3 linked regions of the Stegostoma tigrinum genome follow. The protein of the gene in region 1 purifies or fractionates together with the protein of each later gene. This does not show direct contact. Links are inferred from orthologs where the notes say so. Each region holds a gene or a part of one and is shown in the gene's direction. Other genes may lie near its edges. The genes, in order: pop7, ibtk and rpp40.

Evidence for each region.
Region 2: the proteins of pop7 (region 1) and ibtk purify together in Homo sapiens (affinity purification with mass spectrometry; 3 studies listed by BioGRID and IntAct, with this or other methods). This does not show direct contact. The link is inferred for Stegostoma tigrinum from reciprocal best matches to the Homo sapiens genes POP7 and IBTK.
Region 3: the proteins of pop7 (region 1) and rpp40 purify together in Homo sapiens (co-immunoprecipitation; 4 studies listed by BioGRID and IntAct, with this or other methods). This does not show direct contact. The link is inferred for Stegostoma tigrinum from reciprocal best matches to the Homo sapiens genes POP7 and RPP40.

The regions. Positions count from the first base shown.
Region 1 is NC_081398.1:7,834,120-7,842,141, reverse strand, and holds the start of pop7 (ribonuclease P protein subunit p20), read left to right. Parts: upstream 1-4,933; 5' UTR 4,934-5,168; intron 5,169-8,022. UniProt on the Homo sapiens protein: Component of ribonuclease P, a ribonucleoprotein complex that generates mature tRNA molecules by cleaving their 5'-ends. Also a component of the MRP ribonuclease complex, which cleaves pre-rRNA sequences.
Region 2 is NC_081357.1:38,714,749-38,722,757, reverse strand, and holds the start of ibtk (inhibitor of Bruton tyrosine kinase), read left to right. Parts: upstream 1-4,998; 5' UTR 4,999-5,116; intron 5,117-8,009. UniProt on the Homo sapiens protein: Acts as an inhibitor of BTK tyrosine kinase activity, thereby playing a role in B-cell development. Down-regulates BTK kinase activity, leading to interference with BTK-mediated calcium mobilization and NF-kappa-B-driven transcription.
Region 3 is NC_081355.1:11,661,577-11,668,511, forward strand, and holds the start of rpp40 (ribonuclease P protein subunit p40), read left to right. Parts: upstream 1-3,921; 5' UTR 3,922-4,075; coding exon 4,076-4,192; intron 4,193-6,790; coding exon 6,791-6,935. UniProt on the Homo sapiens protein: Component of ribonuclease P, a ribonucleoprotein complex that generates mature tRNA molecules by cleaving their 5'-ends. Also a component of the MRP ribonuclease complex, which cleaves pre-rRNA sequences.

The DNA.
Region 1 (8,022 bases):
AAGAGCATCCCACCCAGATCCACCCCTTTACACTATTTCTGCATTTCCCACTGCCAATCCACTTAGCCTGTACATCCTTAGACACTGTGGGCAATTTAGCCTGGCCAGTCCACCTAATCTGCACATTTTTGGACTGTAGGAGGAAACCAGAGGAAACCCACGCAGACGTGGGGAAAAAAGTGCAAACTCCACACAGACAGTTGCCCGAAAGTGCAATTGAACTCATGTTGCTGGCGCTGGGAGGCACCAGTGCTAACCACCAAGCCACCATGCCACCCTAACTCCACAGGGAGTAAGTCTACTGTTTAAAGATGCACGCTAGGAGAAAACAGGGAACTAAGATCGCTGCCAGATGCTGGCTGACCTCTACCAGAGTCACCCAGGGTTTTCCAAGATGGAGATGCTGGCAAGAAGCTATGTCTGGTGGCCAGGGCTGGATGATGACATAGCTACATTGGTGGAGCAGTGTCCAGAGTGCCAACAAGGACAAAAATTGCCACCAGCAGCACACCATATGCATAGGAATGGCTGGCTAAACCCTGGACTCGGTTGTATATCAACTATTTCGGTCCTTTCTTCGGCTCAATGTTCCTGGTCATTGTGGGCACCCATCCAAAGTGGTTGGACATGCATAAAGTTCATTCAGCAAACTTGGGGATGATAATTGAGAAACTGCGAGCATCATTTGCGATACATGGAGTCCCAGAAGTATTGGTCACGGACAACGGGGTGTCACTCACTGGCAGGAAATCTGAACATATCCTGAAGTTCAGTGGCATTCGGCACACATGGACAGCTCCATAGCATCCATTGCCTAATGGCCTAGAGGAAAGAGCGGTCCAAACATTGAAGGCAGGCTTAAACAAGCAGCCTACAACGTCAGCTGATACCACACTGTCCCGGTTCCTATACAACTATAGGACAACCCCACATGCAACAGCAGGGATAGCTCCAGCAGAGTTGCTGATGTGGAGAAGACTCCCCACCAGGCTTGAACCTGATATTTCCAGACATAGGGGGCAGGGTGAAATGGCAGCAGGAACGTCAATGCTGGCCACATGCTGCCTCTAAGTGAGAGAGACAACTTCATTTACGGAATGAGGTTTGGTGTCAGAACCATGGAAATGGCCCTGTATGGGTACAAGGCGAGGTTGATGTGAGGTCAGGTCAAGTTTGTGTAGGCGTTATAGTCTTGAACAAACACGTGGATCACCTGAAAGCTGTTATCTTTTAAACAGGGCAGGAGCAAAACATACCTGGCTCCTCTGAACAGCCATAAGGCCTGGCAGAAACTGCAGGTTCTCCCCCTTTGTCTAGCGTTGAGGAAACCCCAGAGTTCGAAATAGAAGCAGCCTCAATACTTGCCACCAGAAGAAGAGATAGAGACTGTTCCGAGATGTCCCGGATTGAAGAGACGGGCCCTGGTCCGGTACATGCTGCCTGGGTCCAAGTCCAAGTCAGAGGAACCAGAGGAACATTGCAAGAGAAGCTGCAAGTGGCAGACCAGTCCTACATTCCTGGACTTGAGTTTTGTGTATGTGTGTGTGTGTGTGTGTGTGTGTGTGTGTGTGTGTGTGTGTGTGTGTGTGTGTGGGGCGGGGGGATGGGGTGCGGGGATGGTGGGGGAGGTGGGAGTGGTTGGGACCAAGTGGACCTCATTGACCAAGAGATCATTGATTGGCGTTGTTAACCTATAAAGCCTTGGCTGATTAAAATAACCAGGAGATTAGAATCTCCTCAGTTGAGGATTGACTGTGAATTAGTAAACAAGGGGTGACTTAGTGACAGGACCCAGTCTCTGAGCAGTTATTTCAGATTGGGAAGTATTGATTGATAAAGGGACTTAGGTGCCCTTGTATACCAGTCATTGAAGGCAAACATACAGGTGCCACAAGCACTTAGGAAGGCAAATGGTATGTTGACCTTCATTCACAATGGGCAGCACCATGGCTTCGTGGTTAGCACTGTTGCCTCACAGTACAGGAGACTAGGGTTCAATTCCACCCTCAGGCAACTGTCTGTGTAGAGTTTGTACCTTCTATCTGTGTCTGTTTGGGTTACTTCCAGGTGCTCTGGTTTCCTCCCACAGTCCAAAGATGTGCAGGTTAAGTGGATTGGCTGTGTTAAATTGCGCACAGTGTCCAGAGATGTGCAGGCTAGGTGAATTAGTCAATGGCAAACATGGAGTTACAGGGATTTGGTAGGGCATGTGGGTCTGAATGGGATGCTCTTTGGCAGGTTGGCATGGACTCAATAAGCTGAATGGCCGGCCTCCATATTGTAGGGATTCTATGATACAACAGATTGGAATCCAAAAGCAAGAATGTCTCACTGCAGCTGTACAGTGCTTGGGTGAGACCGTGCCTGGATTATTGTATGCAATTTTGGTCTCCTTACCTAATAAAGAATGTACTTACCATACAGGGAGTACAACAACGGTTCAACAGACTTGTTTTTTGAGAAGAGATTGGGATATTGTATTCTCTGGAGTTCAGAAGAACAAGAGACGATCTCATTAACACATATAAAATTCTGACAGGGCTGGATAGAATGGATACAGAGATGATGTTCCCCCTGACTAGGGGCTCCAGAACAAGGGGTCACAGACTCAGGATTCCAACTAGGCTATTTAAGATTGAAATGAGGAGAAATTTCTTCATTTAGAGGATGATGAACCTGTGGAATTCTGTGCCAAAAATTCTCTGAGCTAATTAGCCTACTCTTCCTCCTAGTTTCTGTGTTCCATGTGCTAATGTATTGTACGATGTAATACTGACATCAGTAGTCATGTGCTGTGGAGACTCTGAGAAAAGAGAAAGGGAGGAACCGCACTACAGAGCAGTATTTTCTACAACAGTATCCAGATAAAAATGCTTATTGGAACTCCAGAGAATTGGGCAATAGTCAGTCATAGATGAAGTAGAGACTGAAATGTAGCAAACTCAGAGTAGGGACAGTTTTGTCTCAGAGCAGTCTGTCCAAGCCGCACACCTGAAATTATCTCACAATTCCTTCACAGATGCTGGATAGACCCCTGAGATTCCCTCCCTAACAGCACTGTGGGAGTACCTACACCACATAGACTGTAGTCGCTCAAGAAAGCATCTCATCACCACCTTCTCCAGGGCAAATAGGGATGGGCCTCAAGTGCTGGTGTAGCTAGTAATGTCCTTATCTCATAAATGAATAGGATAAAAGTCTCAGGCACAATCAAATTTACAAAAAGTAGACTTATTTCACTGGTTTATGGGACAGGATTTTGAGAAGAGTTGCTTTCCTGTGGAAACTTTCAGAAACACCGGGCAAGTGCCTTACAGGTGCTCTCCAAGTACAGTCACTGTTGTAAAGTAAACACGGCAGCCAATGAATGCACAGCATGATCCCTAAAAAAGGAATCTAATAAAGGCTAGACAATACATTCTTCATGCTACTGACAGACATTGGTCAGCACACCAGGTATCACTCCTCTGCTGCTGTTCGAAATCATAGAATTCCCACAGTGTGAAGCAAGCCATTTGGTCTACCAAGTCCACACTGACCCTCCAAAAAGCATCCCACTCAGACTCACCTCCGTACCCTATCCCTGTATTTCCCATGGCTAATCCACCTAACCTGCACATCCCTGGACACCATGGGCAATTTAGTATGGCCAACCAACCTAACCTATACATCTTTGGACTGTGAGATGAAACCAGAACACCCAGAGGAAACCTGTGCAGACATGAGGATAACATGCAAACTTCACACAGACAGTCACCCAAAAATGGAGCCAAACCTGGGTCCCTGGCAGTGGGAGGCAGAAGAGCTAACCACTGAGCTACTATGCGGTCCACCATGCCCATGGGATCTTACACCTTATAGCATCTCAAAGTATGACCCCGACACCACCTAAATTGAAAGCAGGATGATTGTATTCAACATTTTAATAATTAATGTTTGCATTAAAGATAAACATGTATGAAAGCTTATGTTTTTAAACTATTGTATAAAATGTCAATTTTGGTACCTACTCGGCCTCGCTACTCAGTTCCACATAAGAGGAACACGTTACTAATGAGGAGTTCTGAACAGGGACCTCTTCTGAGCACTAACCCTTCCACTCCAACTCCCTAATTGCAACATGACCTCTCTTCCCCATTCACTGACTTTCCGATTGCAGTTCTCCTAGATTGATGTGACCTCATGATATGTGGTATCATGGTCACATCAAGGTACCCTCCCCTCCCAGTGAACTGGGACCGCAATGTGAGATGGGGTCCCCCAGGTTAGAACCAGCCTTGATCCCGGTTGTTTGTCTGGTGGGGCTGCGACACCCCACATGATGCCCATCTAAGACAGCAGCTGGGGCCTGAGTTTTCAATGTCTCAATCAAAAGAAATCACCACTAACATTGCAGCACTCCCTTGGAATCATACTGGGATGTCAGCCTTGATTTTTCATGGAATGTTGGGACCTTCAAGCTCCCGCTGAGACAAAGTGAAAAGTTTGAAAGCATGGAGAGTGTGACTGACTGGAACAATCTACATTGCCCGAATGTCCTCCATCTATATCGCCATGCTTGTGCAACCTATGGGGCCGATAAATGCAATCAGAATGAAGACAGAGTTGATGGATCGAATGGCTTGTTTTGCCCTTGTCACTGTTGCAAAATGAATTACGTCAGTTCTGTGAAGCCGAATCACCTCCAGAGAGCCGATTCCATCTGTGACTGGCAGGGATTCTTTCTTACACACTGCACAAGGCACTGCTTGGACTTAGATTTCAAGGCACAATCTCAAATCCTGGAGACCTTGTGGGTCTGTATTGAATCTGCAGCACACCCTAATGGCCCCCAGTGGTAGTGGATGCAAGTGAATGTGCACAACAAACATATTTCCAGCGCAGAAACGCCTCCGTTGTTTTAAAATAGAGACAGTAGGAACTGCCGATGCTGGAGAATCTGACATAACACGGTGTGAAGCTGGATTAACGCAGCAGGCCAAGCAGTATCAGAGGAGCAGGAAAGTTTGACGTTTCGGGTCGAGACCCTTCTTCAGAAATGTTTTAAAATACACATTCTTTCACAGGCATCACTGTTGTTGCTGCATACTTGTTGTCCTTGAACTGGGTGCCTTGCTACGCCATTTCAGTTGGTGCATGGGTCTGGAGTCACATGTAGGCCGGCAGAGGTAAAAATGGCAGATTTTCTTCCCTTAAGGATGTTGTGAACTAGTGGATTTTTTGACAACTGACGATAGCTGTCACAGTCATCATCAGTAAGGGTATCTTTATATCATAGAACATAGAACATAGAACAGTACAGCACAGAACAGGCCCTTCAGCCCACAATGTTGTGCCGACCATTGATCCTCATGTATGCACCCTCAAATTTCTGTGACCATATGCATGTCCAGCAGTCTCTTAAATGACCCCAATGACCTTGCTTCCACAACTGCTGCTGGCAACGCATTCCAAGCTCTCACAACTCTCTGTGTAAAGAACCAGCCTCTGACATCCGCTCTATACTTTCCACCACCCAGCTTAAAACTATGACCCCTCGTGTTAGCCGTTTCTTCCCTGGGAAATAGTCTCTCTGGCTATCAACTCTATCTATGCCTCTCATTATCTTGTATACCTCAATTAGGTCCCCTCTCCTCCTCCTTTTCTCCAATGAAAAGAGACCGAGCTCAGTCAACGTCTCTTCATAAGATAAGCCCTCCAGCCCAGGCAGCATCCTGGTAAACCTCCTCTGAACCCTCTCCAAAGCATCAACATCTTTCCTATAATAGGGCGACCAGAACTGGATGCAGTATTCCAAGTGCAGTCTAACCAAAGTTTTATAGAGCTGCAACAAGATCTCACGACTCTTAAACTCAGTCCCCCTGTTAATGAAAGCCAAAACACCATGCGCTTTCTAACAACCCTGTCTACTTGGGTGGCCATTTTAAGGGATCTATGTATCTGCACACCAAGATCCCTCTGTTCCTCCACACTGCCAAGAATCCTATCCTTAATCCTGTACTCAGCTTTCAAATTCGACCTTCCAAAATGCATCACCTCGCATTTATCCAGGTTGAACTCCATCTGCCACCTCTCAGCCCATCTCTGCATTCTGTCAATGTCCCGCTGCAGCCTACAACAGCCCTCTATACTGTCAATGACACCTCCAACATTCGTGTCATCTGCAAACTTGCTGACCCATCCTTCAATCCCCTCATCCAAGTCATTAATAAAAATTACAAACAGTAGAGGCCCAAAGACAGAGCCCTGTGGAACCCCACTCACCACTGACTTCCAGGCAGAATACTTTCCTTCTACTACCACTCGCTGTCTTCTGTTGGCCAGCCAATTCTGCATCCAAGCAGCTAAGTTCCCCTGTATCCCATTCCTCCTGACCTTCTGAATGAGCCTACCATGGGGAACCTTATCAAATGCCTTACTGAAGTCCATATACACCACATCCACAGCTCAACCCTCATCAACGTTTCTAGTCACATCCTCAAAGAACTCGATAAGGTTTGTGAAGCATGACCTACCCCTCACAAAGCCGTGTTGACTGTATTTGATCAAGCCATGCTCTTCCAGATGGTCATAAATCTTATCCCTCAGAATCCTTTCTAACACCTTGCAGACGACAGACGTGAGACTTACTCGTCTGTAATTGCTGGGGATTTCCCTATTTCCTTTCTTGAAGAGAGGAATTACATTTGCCTCTCTCCAGTCCTCAGGTACGACTCCAGTGGAGAGCAAGGATGCAAAGATCTTCGCAAGTGGCGAAGCAATTGCATTTCTCGCTTTCCAAAGCAGCCGAGGACAAATCTGGTCCGGGCCTGGCGACTTGTCAATCTTAATGTTTGACAAAATTTTCAGCACATCAGCTTCCTCTATCTCTATCCATTCCAGCATGCACACCTGCTCTTCAAAGGTTTCATTCACTACAAAGTTCGTTTCTTTCGTAAAGACAGAAGCAAAAAACTCATTTAGGGCTTCCCCTACCTCCTCAGACTCCACACACAAGTTCCCTATGCTATCCCTGATCGGCCCTACTCTTTCTTTGACCATTCTCTTATTCCTCACATAAGTGTAAAATGCCGTTGTGTTTTCCCGGATTCCTTCTGCCAAGCCTTTCTCGTGCCCCCTCCTGGCTCTCCTCAGACCATTTTTGAGCTCCTTCCTTGCCTGCGTGTAATCCTCTCTAGCTGAGCTTGACCCTAGCTTCCTCCACCTTATGCAAGCTACCTTCTTCCTTTTCACTAGAAGCTCCACCGGTCTCGTCATCCAAGGTTCCTTTATCTTACCCCTTCTTGCCTGTCTCAGAGGGACATATTTACTCATCACTCGCAACAACTGTTCCTTAAACAGTCTCCACATGTCTATAGTGCCCTTACCATGGAACAATTGCTCCCAGTCCATCCTTCCTAACTCATGTCTAATCTTTAACTTATCTTAGTTCCTCTTTCTGTGTCTCCTTCCAGCCCTGTGGTCATCCAGGGCACTGTCTTGCTCCTGCCCAGCACCGGCCTCTTCCCATTCTTCCCACAATGCCACTGGGACCCTTCCAGGGAAAATTCCAGGGAGGAGCTGGCCTTATCCTGCAATAATGAATTGAATTAAAATTCTTGCTATGTGGGATTTGAACTTTATCCATCAAAACATTAAACTTAAAGCTCTCCAGTAATGTTACCACTAGTCCATTACTCCTCACTCAGTCTACATCAGACCTCTGTCCCACATGAGTCTGCTCCCATAGATTCTCAACACACTCTATCAATGTACCTACATCTATACTTCTCCCTCATACCTAGGTTCCCCATAGCATCAACACTATTTGCTTCAGCTATGGGAGTGAATTCCATCTTCTCCCCACTGCCTGCATCAAGAGGTTTCTGTGGAATTCTTCCCCGGATTTAATAGTAACTGTCTTATATTGATGGCTTACCTACAAGCAGTAACACCTTCCTCACATCCACCCTGTCCACCCTCCCTTATCATTTTAAAGTCCCCAGTCGCTTTGCTAAAGATATGAAGGTGCCAGTGCTGGAC
Region 2 (8,009 bases), on another chromosome or scaffold:
GCTGCTTGTTACGAGAGATCTTCTGTTTTCAGAATACAGTTTTACCTTAAGGTACTTACAATTCTTAGAATTAACTGTCTGTATTTTCAGAGTGCTGCAGGATTACTGTTAATTATGTTTCGGGACAATATCAAATAGGTTTTGAATAAAATGTAGTAAAAAAAATCACTAAAATCTGTTTCTTTTGAACTGAGCTGACTTTAAAACCCAAGTGCTATCCATTGCAAAAGGCCAATCATCTCTTGATCTGCATTGATTCCAATTGATTCCAAGTCTAAGCTATGCCCTTGCCACCCTCAAGTCCTATGTCTTCTTTACCATCATCATCATCTTAACGCCTTTCCGCATAAAATATATCTCATCCAAAATTCAGGTGGGCAACTATATGCAATGAAGTAAGTATTATATAAAATTGTGGTCCTGACAGAGTGCCAAGGCCATTGCAGGATGATATTGATCAAAGAACTCTTTTTTTGATTGATTAATTGTCATGTGTACCAAAGCTCAGTGAAAAGTTTTGTTTACAAGTGGTACAGGAAGATTGTAGTAAGCAAGGATACTTGACCAAAAAGACTTAGTCAGAGGCGTACAGGTTACATTGCACAGGGCGTGTGCTGGGCGAGATCAATGTCAACAAGATCAGGAATTATTTGAGGTTAGAGACGCCATTCATCAGTCTAATAGTTACAGTGAAAAATCCGTTCCTGAATCAGCTGGTGCATGCATTCAAGGTCTTGTATCTTCTGCTGAAAGGAAGTAGTTGTAGGAGATCATTACCAGGGTGCGGTGTGTCTTTGATGATGTTAGCAGCTTTTCCATGCCAGCGAGCCTTGTAACGGGAGTCCGTGGATGGAAGATTGACTTCCATGATGGTGTGAGCTGTGCACACCACCTTCTGTAGTTTCCTACAATCCTGGGCTGAGCAATTGCTATACCAGGCTGTTGTGCACCTGGACAGTATGCTTTTAATTGTGCATCTGTAGGAGTTGCTGAGGGACCTTAGGGATATACCAAATTTGCTGAACTGTCTGAGGAAGAAGAGGCATTGTTGTGCCTTCTTGATTGTCGCATCTCTGTGGGAAGTCCAGGACAGGTTATCGGTCATTGTCACTCTGAAGAACTTGATGCTCTTCATCCTCTCAACCTCTGCTCTGTTTCTGTAGATGCTGGCACATTACCCTCCTTTCTTTTTGAAGTCAATGATCGGTTCTTTAGTTTGGCCGACATTGAGAGAGTGAAGTTGTTCTTATTGCACCACATCACCAAGCCATCTATGTCCTTTCCGTATTTTGACTCGTCATCATTAGATATCTGTCCCCCTACGGTGATGTCATCAGCGAACTTGTAGATGGCATTCATTCAGAATTTGGCAACACACTGTGGGTGTACAGGGGGTAGAGTAGGGGGCTGAAGATGTATCCTTGGGGGGGGGGGAGGTTGGTGTCGAGTGTAATTGTTGAGAAGGTACAGTTACCTATCCTCACTGATTGCAGTCTGTGGGTCAGGAAGCTGAGGATCCAATTGCAGAGGGCAGAGCCGAGACCAAGGTCGCGGAATTTCGAGATCAGCCTGGAGGGGATGATGGGTGTTGAAGGCGGAGCTGTAGTCAGTGAGCAGAAGTCTGACATTGGTGTCCTTGTTGTCCAAATGTTCCAGGAATGAGAGGAGAGCTAGGGATATAGAATCCACTGGGGACCTGTTACATGTTAGTCTAACTGTCAGGGATTGAGGCAGGTTGGGAGACTGGAGTTGATGTGGGCCATGACCAGCCTCTCGAAGCACTTTATGATTATTGAGATCAGAGCCATTGGGCAGTAGTCATTAAGGCACATTGCATGTACTTTCTTAGGTACTGGGATGGTGGTGGTCTTATTGAAGTGGGTAGGGACTTCGGTTTGTAGGAGGGAGAGGTGGAAGATGTCAGTGAATACCTCCACCAGTTGGTCTGAACGGGATCTGAGTGCACAGCCAGAGACACTGGCTGGGTCCATCGCTTTCCCTGGGTTGACTCCCAGGAAAACCGATCTGACGTCTGCAGCAGTGACCAAGAGAACAGGTGTGTCTGGGTCTATCACGGCAGGTGGCACAGCACTGCTGGCATTCTGTTCAAACCGAGCATAGAAAGCTTTGACATTTTTCTTTGAAAGTTAACATTTCGGGTCCAGTGACCCTTCCTCCTCACCAGACCCAAAACGTTGAATCTGATTTTTTCCTCACAGATGCTGCCGGACCTGCTGAGCTTTTCCAGCAACTTCTGTTTTTGTTCCTGATTTACAGCATCCATAGTTCTTTCAGTTTTTATTCTGTGTAGTTAAAAAGGTTTCATAAGACATACTTCAGTTGCATTCCTTAGTTATTGTGAAAGTTAGCTTTTTCATTAATTTGATATATTAATTGCCTGTTAATTGTTGATCTGTGTCGATTTTACTTCGCATTTTTACAGTTAGTATTTTAAAGGGTGAAATCCTGTCCTGCTGTTCTTTCCTTTGGTTGTTGGGAAATCCATCTTATGAAAGCTGTCAGTCTGTATGGGGTTTGTAACCAAAGGTGTGATCTTGTTAATTCCACTTCTCCACTCCTTCCCTATATTACTACAACATCTGTTTTTTTTATCAAATTATCTTGTGAAGGTTACGGATTAGACCGTTTCCAGTGTTTCATTACACAGTGCATTCAAAATTGTAACCACTTGTTCAGTAAAAATGCTGGTCCTTTTGCGAAAAATAACTTATCTCAAAAGATTGATCTTTGACCCATTTGAAAGACATTTCTTTTTACTTACTTATTTACATTCATTAGTTTTTTAAACACATCTAAATTTCATCTTAGCCTTCTGTGCTCAAAGGAGAACAACCCCAGCCTCTCTGGTCTTGTTAAATAACTGGAATCTCTCATCCACAGAGCTAGACTAGTCCTGGTCTTTTATATTCTTGGTGAAACCTTTTCATAGTTTCTTGAGTGAGGTGCCCAGAATAGGTTACAATCCTGCAACTAAGGAGGACTAGTGTTTTATTTGTGCTTTCTATAAATTTGGCTTAAACTTCTGATTTCTGTACTCTGCATTCTTACTAATAGCCCAGGATCCTGTACAATTTGTTCATTGCTTTGTTGACCTGTCTTGTCACCTTCAGAGATTTGTGCAAACACACTTATATCTCTGTCTTCTTTCACTTCTGTTAAATTGTGTCATTTAGCATGTAAAATCTCTATGTACAATCTATCTTCATTCTTCCTGCAAATGTGTATCAACTCACAATTTACTTTATTGCATTTTATTTACCTTGTGTCCAGCCATTCCATCAGCCTATGTTCTTTTGAAGTTTATAAACAAGAGATAGAAGTAGGAGAGATTAAATGGCCTCTTAATCCTGCTTAAACCCAGACAAAGGTGCCAAATACTGAACCAAAAACTCTGAATGAGATCTGAGTGGTGTTTTAACATTACATTTTCTAAGTGCAATATCTAGATTTTAAACATATTGAAATTTGTTACCTCGGCCCCTTATATTCATACTAGTTTAGGTGACAGAAGTGAGGAGGCATTGTTATTTGTTAATGGATAACATAAAACAAAACATACTGGAAACACTTCCCAACTAAATCTATATCTGTTTAGGGAATGAACCAATTTATGAGACAAATGGATGTAGGTTTTCTGAGAAATTGAAGGCTATTTGAAATTAAGGTAGCCATGTGTTTTAGTGTGGAATAATAATGCTGTGTGATCAGACAATCAATTAGCCACTCTGTATTTTCAGCTGTCCATGACCCAGAGAAGTAAAAGTATCAACACTCCTACTCTTCTGGATCTGTAACTGAAAAGGGAAAAAAAAACACTTGATGACAAAACATCCCTCATGTGGATGCATTTTATCGAAAACTGGATAAAAATATAGAAATGAGTGATAATGGGAACTGTAGATGCTGGAGAATCCAAGATAAAAAAGTATGAAGCTGGATGAACACAGCAGGCCCAGCAGCATATAGAAATGTCTATATGCGACAGTATATTTTTTAAAGCATTTAATGCACTCCGTATAGATACATGGAGTCATAGACACGTACAGCACGGAAACAGACCCTTCGGACCAGCCTTTCCATGCTGACCAGATATCCTAAATTAATCTAGTCGCATTTGCCAGCATTTGGATCATATCCCTCTAAACCCTTACTATTCATATATCCAGCCAGATGCCTTTTAAACATTCTAGTTGTACCAGCTTCCACCACCTCCAAACCTTGGCAACATCCTTGTAAATCTTTTCTGAACCCTTTCATGTTTAATAACATCTTTCCTACATCTCTGTTACTCAGGCATTCTCAGTGACTGTGACAGACAGTCTGACACTCAGTCTGTCAGTTACTTAGACTATCTGTCACTGTTACTCAGACTGTAAAACATGCAAACTGTTGGAAATAGTCATTCAGGTTGTCACTCAGATTGTGAACTACTCAAACAGCCTGTTAGACACTCAGACTGCCTGTCACTTTCACTCAGATGGTTAGAGACAGCCAGACTGTCAGTCATTCAGACTGTAGTGACAGCTAGATTGTCAGCCACTCTGGCTGTCACTCAGATTGTTAGTGACAGCCAGACTATCAGCCACTCTGACTGTCACAGTCAAACTCTCAGTCATTCAGACTGTTACAATCAGACGGTCATACACTCAGACTGTTAGATACAGCCAGGCTGTCAGTCACTCAGGTGGTCTCACACTCAGACTGTTAGAGACAGTCGGACCATCTGTCACTCACTTGTTAGAGACATACAGACTGTCCTCACTCAGACCTTTATAGACAGCCAGACTGTCCGTCACTCAGACTGTCAGAGAAAGCAAGACTGTCCGTCACTCAGATTATTAGAAACTGCCAGACTGTCAGTTTCCACCTGGAGACAGGCTGCAACCAGGGAGACTGTTGGTGTCGTGCACAGCCAATCAGCAGTGGAACCTTGAAGCCATAGCCAATGGGAGTTTATGATGTTGGGGAGTGCGGCTCATTGCTGACATTTCAGTTCCAGCCGGAGCCGTCTGTGATCATGGTTACCGTGTCCTCGTTCCCTGCTCCAGCAACCGCCACTCTCTCCCTCTACAGTGTCCGTTTCATCTAGCGACAGGTAAGGAACAGGGCTGGTGTGGCCTGAGGGAGACAGTTCTTCCCCTGTTCCCCCGCCACCCACACCTCCCTCCGCCGCCCAGCCCTTGGCAGACCCGGTCACGGGGGGGACAATGAGCCAGGAGACCAGGTCCTTTCTGCTCTCTTCTCCCTCCTCTTTCTGACTTCACTCCCCAGGGCGAATGTTGCATGTGTTTTTCTTTGTGCCACGTCTACGGCCAGGGCCGAGGCTGCAGAAACTTCTGATGGTATGAGATTGTGATTAAAGATCTGGTACAGGATAGTACTGTGAGTGTTTTAGTATAGATATGACCGCCTGCAGTGCTTGTTCTGTTTCCGTTTCGATGCAACACGTACTTGGAGTTTTGATACTGTAATAATCGTGTTAATTCTATAATTACAGTTCAGATTTTACCAGTCCAAAACATTTAATGTTAGTTCTCTTCTGACGACCTCCTTGGCAAAATCTTTCCCATATCTTGGCCTCCTTCCTATTTGAACACAGACTTCTGTATGTTAGATGGGAATCTAACATGAGTAGTGATCAGAAATAAAAATGCCACTGGAGATTCAATTCTTCACCACTGCCTTTCTTCCTGTCACCCAAACAAGGCAAGTGTCTGCACATTGGCCAATTTATGCAGAGATCAGTTAAAAACCTGTATGTATGGAACTGCAGGAGATGGGTGTGGTCATCATTGAATATTTCTCTTGTGTTTCCTTTGGAGAAAGGTGAGATGATTTGGGAACTTGGGGAAGTTAGTGGCATTATCTTGGGGGCAGCTCATATCACAGCAGAGGTGGTGTTGGAAGTATATGAAGGTGGATAAATCTCTTGGTCCTTAGCAAATATATCTAAAATCTCTGCAAGAGGCTAGAGAAGAAATTGTAGGGGGCCCTGGCTGATATATTTGCACTATTGTTAGCTATGGTTGACATCCCAGAAGACTGGAGGGTAGCGAATGTTGCAGCCCTTATTCAAGAAGGGCTGCAAAGAAAAAAAACTGGGAATTAATAGACCAATAAGCTTAATCTGTAGTAGGTAAATTAGTTGAAAAGATTCTGGGGGATAAGATATACATGAATTTAGAAAGGCAGGGTTTGACTGGGAGTAGTCAGTATGGCCTCATGTGTGGGAGATCATGCTTTACAGAATTGTTAGAGCTCTTTGGAGTGACTAGGAAGGTTGATGAGGGCAGGGTGGGACGGATATGGGTCTGTATGGATTTCAGTAAGGCCTTTGATAAGGTTCCATACGGTAGCTGCTCTGGAAGGTTAGATCGCATGGAATCCAGGAAGAGTTGGTGAATTGGATATACAATTGGCTTGATGGTAGGAAGCAGAGAGTAATAGTGGAAGGATGCTTGTCGGGCTGGAGGCCCATTGCAGTTTATCTATATCAATGATTTGGATGACAATGTACAAGGCATAATTAGTAAGTTTGCGAATGACACAAAAATAGGCTGTATCGTGGACAGTGAGGAAGGTTATCAGAAATTGCAGTAGGATCTTGATCAGCTGGAGAACTGGGCTCAGAAATGGAAAATGGAGTTTAATATTGATAAGTATGAGGTGTTGCTTTTTGGAAAGTCAAATCAAGGTAGGAGTTTCATGGTGAATGGTAGAGCCTTAAGGAGTGTATTGAAACGAGGGACCTTTTGGAGTTCAGGTGCACAGTTCTCTGAAAGTGGAGTCTGATAGACAGGGCAGTGAAAAAGGGTTTTGGCACATCGTCTTTATCAGTCAAGGCATTGAGTATAGATGTTGGGAAGTTTTATGTGGGGATATACAGGGTGTTGGTGAGGCTGCACTTGGAGTATTGTGTTCGGTTTTGTTCACCTTGCTATAGGAAGGACGTTATTAAGCTGGAAAGAGTGCAGAAGAAATTTACAAGGATGTTGCCAGGATTCAAGGGACTGAGTTATATGGAGACATTGGACAAGCCAGGACGTCTTTCTTCAGAGCACAGGAGACTGAAGGGTCACCTTTTATAGAAGTGTACAAGATCATGAGAAGCATGGATAGTGTGAATGCACTCGGTCTTTTTCCCAGGCTTGGGAAATTGAGGACTGACGGGCATCAGTTTCAGGTAACAGGGGAAAGAATACGTGAAAATCTGAGGGGCAACTTCTTTTACACACAGGATGGTAGGCATATGGAATGTGCTGCCAGCTGAAGAGGTTGAAGTGGGTACATTAACAACATTTAAAGGCATTTGCTGAATACATGGATAGGAAAGGTTCAGAAGGATATGGGCAAAGTGCAAGGAAATGGTGTAAGTGTGGATGAATATTTTGGTCAGCATGGACCAGTTTAGGCTGAAGGGCACATCTCTGTGCTGTAGGACTCTATGACCAGTGTTTTTTGTTCATTTGTCGTGTTATTGCAGCTGTACCTAGCCTTGTCAGGTCACTTCTGAGGTACACTGTACAGTTTTGCTTTCCTTATTTGGGGGAAAAAAAGTGTGTTAGAAACAGTTCAGAGAAGGTTCAATGATTCCTGGAATGAAGAGGTTGTCTTATTAGGAAAAGTTGACAGCTTGAGCATAAAAGCTATTAGAATTTAGCAGAAAGACTTGCTTATTAAACCAATATTCTGAGAGAACAAAAACAAGTTGCTGGAAAAGCTCCACAGGTCTGCCAGCATCGGTGAATAAAGAAAACATCAGAGTTAACATTTTGGGTCTGGTGACCCTTTGTCAGAACAGTTCTGAGGAAAGATCACTGGACCCAAAACATTAACTCTGGATTTTTTTTATTCACGGATACTGCCAGACCTGCTGAGCTTTTTCAGCAACTTCTGTTTCCGTACATGATTTCCAGTAGTTTTTTTTTTTTGGTTTTTTTATTTACTATTCTGAGAGAAAATGGCAAGTAGATATCAGGCAGATATTT
Region 3 (6,935 bases), on another chromosome or scaffold:
GAAAGGTGGTAAGGAAAAGCCGAGGAATTATAGACCAGTGAGCTCGAACAGTTCATCCACTTCACCAACACCTTCCACCCCAACCTTCAGTTCACCTGGGCCATCTCCAGCGCATCCCTCACCTTCCTGGATCTCTCAGTCTCCATCTCAGGCAACCAGCTTGTAACTGATGTCCATTTCAAGCCCACCGACTCCCACAGCTACCTAGAATACACCTCCTCCCACCCACCCTCCTGCAAAAATTCCATCCCCTATTCCCAATTCCTCCGCCGCATCTGCTCCCACGATGAGGCATTCCACTCCCGCACATCCCAGATGTCCAAGTTCTTCAAGGACCGCAACTTCCACCCCACAGTGGTCGAGAACGCCCTTGACCGCGTCTCCCGCATTCCCCGCAACACATCCCTCACACCCCGCCCCCGCCACAGCCACAGCCGCCCAAAGAGGATCCCCCTCGTTCTCACACACCACCCCACCAACCTCCGGATACAATGCATCATCCTCCGACACTTCCGCCATCTACAATCCGACCCCACCACCCAAGACATTTTTCCATCCCCACCCCTGTCTGCTTTCCGGAGAGACCACTCTCTCCATGACTCCCTTGTTCGCTCCACACTGCCCTCCAACCACACCACACCCGGCACCTTCCCCTGCAACCGCAGGAAATGCTATACTTGCCCCCACACCTCCTCTCTCACCCCTATCCCAGGCCCCAAGATGACTTTCCACATTAAGCAGAGGTTCACCTGCACATCTGCCAATGTGGTATACTGCATCCACTGTATCCGGTGTGGCTTCCTCTACATTGGGGAAACCAAGCGGAGGCTTGGGGACCGCTTTGCAGAACACCTCCACTCGGTTCGCAATAAACAACTGCACCTCCCAGTCGCAAACCATTTCCACTCCCCCTCCCATTCTTTAGATGACATGTCCATCATGGGCCTCCTGCAGTGCCACAACGATGCCACCCGAAGGTTGCAGGAACAGCAACTCATATTCCACTTGGGAACCCTGCAGCCCAATGGTATCAATGTGGACTTCACCAGCTTCAAAATCTCCCCTTCCCCCACCGCATCCCAAAACCAGCCCAGTTCATCCCCTCCCCCCACTGCACCACACAACGAGCCCAGCTCTTCCCCTCCACCCACTGCATCCCAAAACCAGTCCAACCTGTCTCTGCCTCCCTAACCTGTTCTTCCTCTCACCCATCGCTTCCTCCCACCCCAAGCCGCACCTCCATCTCCTACCTCCTAACCTCATCCCACCTCCTTGACCTGTCCGTCTTCCCTGGACTGACCTATCCCCTCCCTACGTCTCCACCTATACTCTCCTCTCCACCTATCTTCTTTTCTCTCCATCTTCGGTCCGCCTCCCCCTCTCTCCCTATTTATTCCAGAACCCTTACCCCATCCCCCTCTCTGATGAAGGGTCTAGGCCCGAAACGTCAGCTTTTGTGCTCCTGAGATACTGCTGGGCCTGCTGTGTTCATCCAGCCTCACATTTTATTAGCCTGACATCAGTGGTGGGCAGATGTTGTAGAGGATCCTGAGGGACAGGATTTACATGTATTTGGAAAGGCAAGGACTGATTAGGGATAGTCCACATGGCTTTGAGCATGGGAAATCATGTCTCACTAACTTAATTGAGTTTTTGTAGATGTCACAGAGGTCTAATGAAGGCAGAGTGGTGGATATGATCTATATGGATTCAGTAAGGTGTTCAATGAGATTCATCATGGTAAACTAGTTAGCAAGGTTAGATCACATGGCATAAAGGGAAAACTAGCAGTTTGGATACAGAACTGACTCAAAGGTAGAAGACAGAGGGTGGTGGTGGAGGGTTGCAATTCAGACTTGAGGCCTGTGACCAGCTGTGTTCCACAAGAATCAGTGCTGGGTCCACTGCTGTTCGTCATTTATATAAATGATTTGGATGTGAACATATTGTTAGTAAGTTCGCAGATGACACCAAAATTGGAGGTGTAGTGGACAGCGAAGAACATTACCTCAGAGTACGAAGGGGACAAATCAGACAGATAAATAGGTGGAGGAATGGTAGATGGAGTTTAATTTAGACAAATGTGGACTGCATTTGGAAAGGCAAATCAGGGCAGGACTTACATACTTAATGGTTAGGTCCTGGAGGGCATTACTGAACAAAGAGACCTTGGAGTGCTGGTTCATAGTTCCTTGAAAGTAGAGTAATAGGTAGACAGGATGGTAAGGAAGGCGTATGGTATGAAAACTGAAAGAACTGTGGATACTGTAAATCAGGGACAAAAACAGAAGTTGCTGGAAAAGCTCAGCAGGTCTGGAAGTATCTGTGAAGAAAAAATCAGAGTGACCCTTCCTCAGAACTTTGCTTGCCTTTACTGATCAGTTGGGAGAGTCATGTTGTGGCTGTACAGGACATTGGTTCGGCCACTTTTGGAATACTGCATTCAATTTCTCGACTATAGGGAAGATGTTGGAAAACTTGAAACAGTTCAGAAAAGATTTACAAGGATGTGGCTAGGGTTGGAGGCTTTGAGCTAAAGTGAAAGGCCAAATAGACTGGGGCTATTTTCCCTGGAGTGTCGGAGGCTGAGAGGTGACCTTTATAGAGGCTTAGAAAATTATGAGGGGCATAGATGGGGTGAGTAGGCAAGGTCTTTTTCCCAGTGTGGGGAGTTCAAAATTAGAGGACATAAGTTTAAGGTGAGAGGGGAAAGATTTAAAAGAGACCAAAAGGGCAAGTTTTTCTCAGAGGGTGGTGTGTGTATGGAATGAGCTGCCAGATTAAGTGGTGGAGGATGGTACATTTACAACATTTAGAAGACATCTGGATGGGGAGATGAATAGGAAGGGTTTACAGGGATATGGGCCTAACAATACTAGATTAATTTAGGATATCTGGTTGGCATGGATGAGTTGGACTGACGGTTTCTGTGCTGTACATCTCTCTGACTCTATTCAGATGATTCAATAGAATCCCTACAGTACAGAAACAGGACATTCAGCCCAACACATCCATACCACTCCTCTAAACAGCATTCCAACCAGACCCATCACCCTGTAACCCCCCTGATTTTGCACATCCCTGAACGCTATGGGCAATTTAGCATGGCCAACCCACCTAGCCTGCACATCTTTGGACTGTGGGCATTTGGAGGAAACCCACGCAGACACAGGGAGAATGTGCAAACTCCACACAGACAGTCGCCTGAGGCTGGAATCAAACCCGGGACCCTGGTGCTGTGAGGCAGCAGTGCCAAACATTGAGCCATCGTGCCACCCCGTGATTGTGACTGTGTTTGTTACTGGAATTTTTTGATGCTGTGGAAGCTCAGTCTTTGACTATGGTTAAGGTAGAGATTGATAGATTTCTAACTACCAGGGGTGCGAAGGATTTTGAGAATAGTCTGTGGGTGAAAGGCAGACAAGTGTTTGAATTGTATTAAATGCTGGAGCACGCCCGTTTCTAACTGAAGATTCATCCCCAGGACATGGCTGTGGGCAATCTTTTCACGGGCACCTCTGTTTACGAGTCAGAAAAACATTGGTGGTGGGAAACAAATGGCTCTTTGTCCTGACAGTCGAGAATTATTCGACTGGGTAGTGAAGAGAAAGGGGGAGGCCTGGAGGATGGAGCAGTTAGCTGACAGAATAGATTGATCCTTGGGGAATACATTTGACTAAAATTGGCCAATTACCTCGGTACCTTGTCCTGATTGCTACCAATAACCATGCTGGAAAATGAATGGGTTCTAAACTGTTTAAGAAAAACAGGGCTCAGCCCATTGATCATGAAAAGGTTCAATTCTTACTTTGGGAATGCGAGTGTTGACTTGAGACAGGCCCTGAACATTCAAACGCGGCTCTTCTTCCACCTTGGCCTCCAACCAGCAGAGGGTGCACTCTGCCCTCCTCTCCAGAGGCGCCAAAGGGAGCGCCAGAGCTCGCGGACGACGGGAAGAAGCGGAGAGGTTCTGAGTGGGGAAAGTCGTTAACTGGCGCGTGGAGCTGTTGCCGAGGGGAGAAGCGGTAAACGGCCCTCGCGGACGGCGCGAGGAGCTGTGGCCCAGTTTGGGAAGATGCTGCACAACGTGGAGAAATGCGCGCGGCACCTAGTGGTTAGTGAAAGATCCAACTTCAGGCACAGTAAATCAAAACACCATAAACACGTGCAGGCTCATCACTATAACTACCAGGTGGGTGATTGACAGGGGCAGGAAAACTTTATGACTACCTGGTGGGAGATTGACAGTGGGCGGAGGCTAATCGTCATGCTTCTTTGATGGGTGATTGACAGGGGGCGGAGATTAATCGCCATGTTTATCTGATGGGTGATTGACAGGGGGTGGAGTCTGATCGCCATGACTACCAGGTGGGTAATTGACAGGGAGCGGAGAACTCATTACTTTCCCTTTTATTCTAACGGAACATCGGTGCTAGGTCCACTTCTGCTTATCATTTATATAAATCATTTAGATGACAATATAGAAAGCACGGCTAGTAAGCTGCAGATGAAACCAAGATTGGTGGTATAGTCGACACTGAAGAAGGCTGTCTAAAATTACAAAGAGATCTTGATCAGTTCATTCGATGGGCAGAAGAGTGTCAAATGGGGTTTAATTTGGATAACTGCATGTATTGTATTTTGGTAAAACAAACAAACACAAAACTTATACAATTAAAATAGGAGATAACACGGTGTGAAGCTGGATGAACACAGCAGGCCAAGCAGCCCTAGAGGAACAGGAAAACTTGACGTTTTGGTTGGGAAACTGCTTCAGAAATGTTTCGGACAGAGTACAGTAGCTTCTTTAAGGAAGGCATCCTTAGAAGAGGTTTCGCAGCAGGGTTAAAATTGTTACAGAGATAGTAGGAACTGCTGATCCTGGAGAATCTGAGATAACATGGTGTGAAGCTGCATGAACACAGCAGGCCAAGCAGCATCAGAGGAGCAGGAAAGTTTGAAGTTTCGGGTCGGGACCCTCTTCATTTCTGATTGCATTCATTGCTTAGATCTGTGAGTATAGGAGTTGTGATGTTATGTTGAGGTTGTACAGGATGTTGGCGAAGGCTCTTCTAGAGTACTGTGTTCAGTTCAGGTCTCCCTGTTATAGGAAGGATATTATTAAGCTGGAAAGTGTTCGAAAGAGATTTACCAGAATGTTGCTGAGAATGGAGGGTTTGAGTTGTAAGGAGAGGCTGGATACATTTCTCACTGGGGCATAGAAGGTTGAGAGGTGACATTTAAAGAGTTTTATAAGATCATGAAGGGAGTAGATAAGGTGAATAGCAGGTGTCTTTTCTGTAGGGTGGGCGGTTTCAGGACTAGGGGCACATTCTTAAGGTGAGAGGAGAAGGATTTAAAAAAGACATGAGGGGCAATTTTGTTTCACAGAGAGTGGTTCGTGTGTTGAATGAACTTCCGAGGAGATTGTGGATGTGGGTATAGTTACGATTAAGAAATATTTAGATAAATATGTGAATAAGAAATGCTTGGAGAGATATGGGCCAAGTGCAGGCAAGTGGGACTAGTTTAGTTGGGATTATAGTCGGCATGGACTAAAGGGTCTGTTTCAGTGCTGTATAACTCTATAACTTTAAGTCTATAACTGCCCACGTCTGTGTTTGACAGGGGTACAGTTAATAAATCTTCAGCTAAATGGTAGAAAAAATGGAGGTGCCCATTGTGTTTTAGTTAGTTACCAACAATGCTTCACTTGGATTGTCTCCTGTATGGTTTCGTGATTATTTTAAACCTTTTTATGTAGGAAAGAGTCCAGGTTGTCTGGACCAATGAAGCTCCAAAGAAATATCTTTGACCCGAAATAGAAACTCTCTTTCTCTCTTTTCTGTTAGTGCCATAATATTGAAGGCTGAAACAGCAACAAGTGAATTTGTATTTATATACCACCTTTTTAACAGAATGGAACAGTACAAGAAATGGGCAATCAGGGCTGGAATGCTTGTGCTGTTTTACTATTTCAGAACCACTTCCGTCAGCAGTTAAATTCACTGTAAACGAAAATGGCATTGTGTTTGTGCATTTTTTCATGTTTGTGTGTGTTTTTGATGTTCAGAAATGACAAATGTTAAAGGTAGCAATTGAATAGTAAGTGCCCCCAGTGGGAATTACTTAGCAACATCATTAGAAGCTCCAAGTAACACCTGTTCAATGGGGTTCAATGTTGTAATGCATTTGCTAAGTTGGCTGCATTGAGTGTCTTGCTTTTACAGTCAACGATTTTGATATGAAAGCAATGGCAAACCTTGTGTAACTTTTTTTAGGGTTTTATTTGTTTTAGAGATGAATATCTTCAACAAGCTATAATGGTTGATGGCCAACTGTTGTAGTTTTTAAAAGGTAAAGATGCCATAGTCCAAATGGATGAGAGGGCTGCTGTGTCGTTAGAGAGAGATGACTGGTGGTGGTTTAACCTGGGGGTCACCACACCTGAGATGGGCCGAAGAGGTTGAAAAAGAGAGTCCTTTGTGGTAAGCTCAGCTGGCTAGCTGGCTGATTTGCGATGCAGAATTACACAATACATGTTCAGTTACCACATTGGCTGAGGTTACCACTTGATCGTGCCTTCTTAGCCTTGCACCTCACCTGAAGCATGGTGACCCTAAGGTTAAACTCACCATCAGTCATTCTCTCTAATGAGAAAGCAATCCTGTGGCCCTCTGAGACTATGGCAACTTTACTTTTCCCTTATGAAAATATTACCCACATTGATGGATTTTACATCTTATTTTTGTTGAACTTCTTTTGTAGCTGTTTAAATATTTTCTTGCAGGTCTCAATTTTGATACCAGAATGTGGAGTGATACCACCAGGAGTTACTGCTGCCTGCAGAAATTTAGGAGAGTATTATTTGGTAAAGCAGTTGCCACTTCATCGAATGCTTGAACCTGACTTCATCAACAAATTTGTGAAGCAAG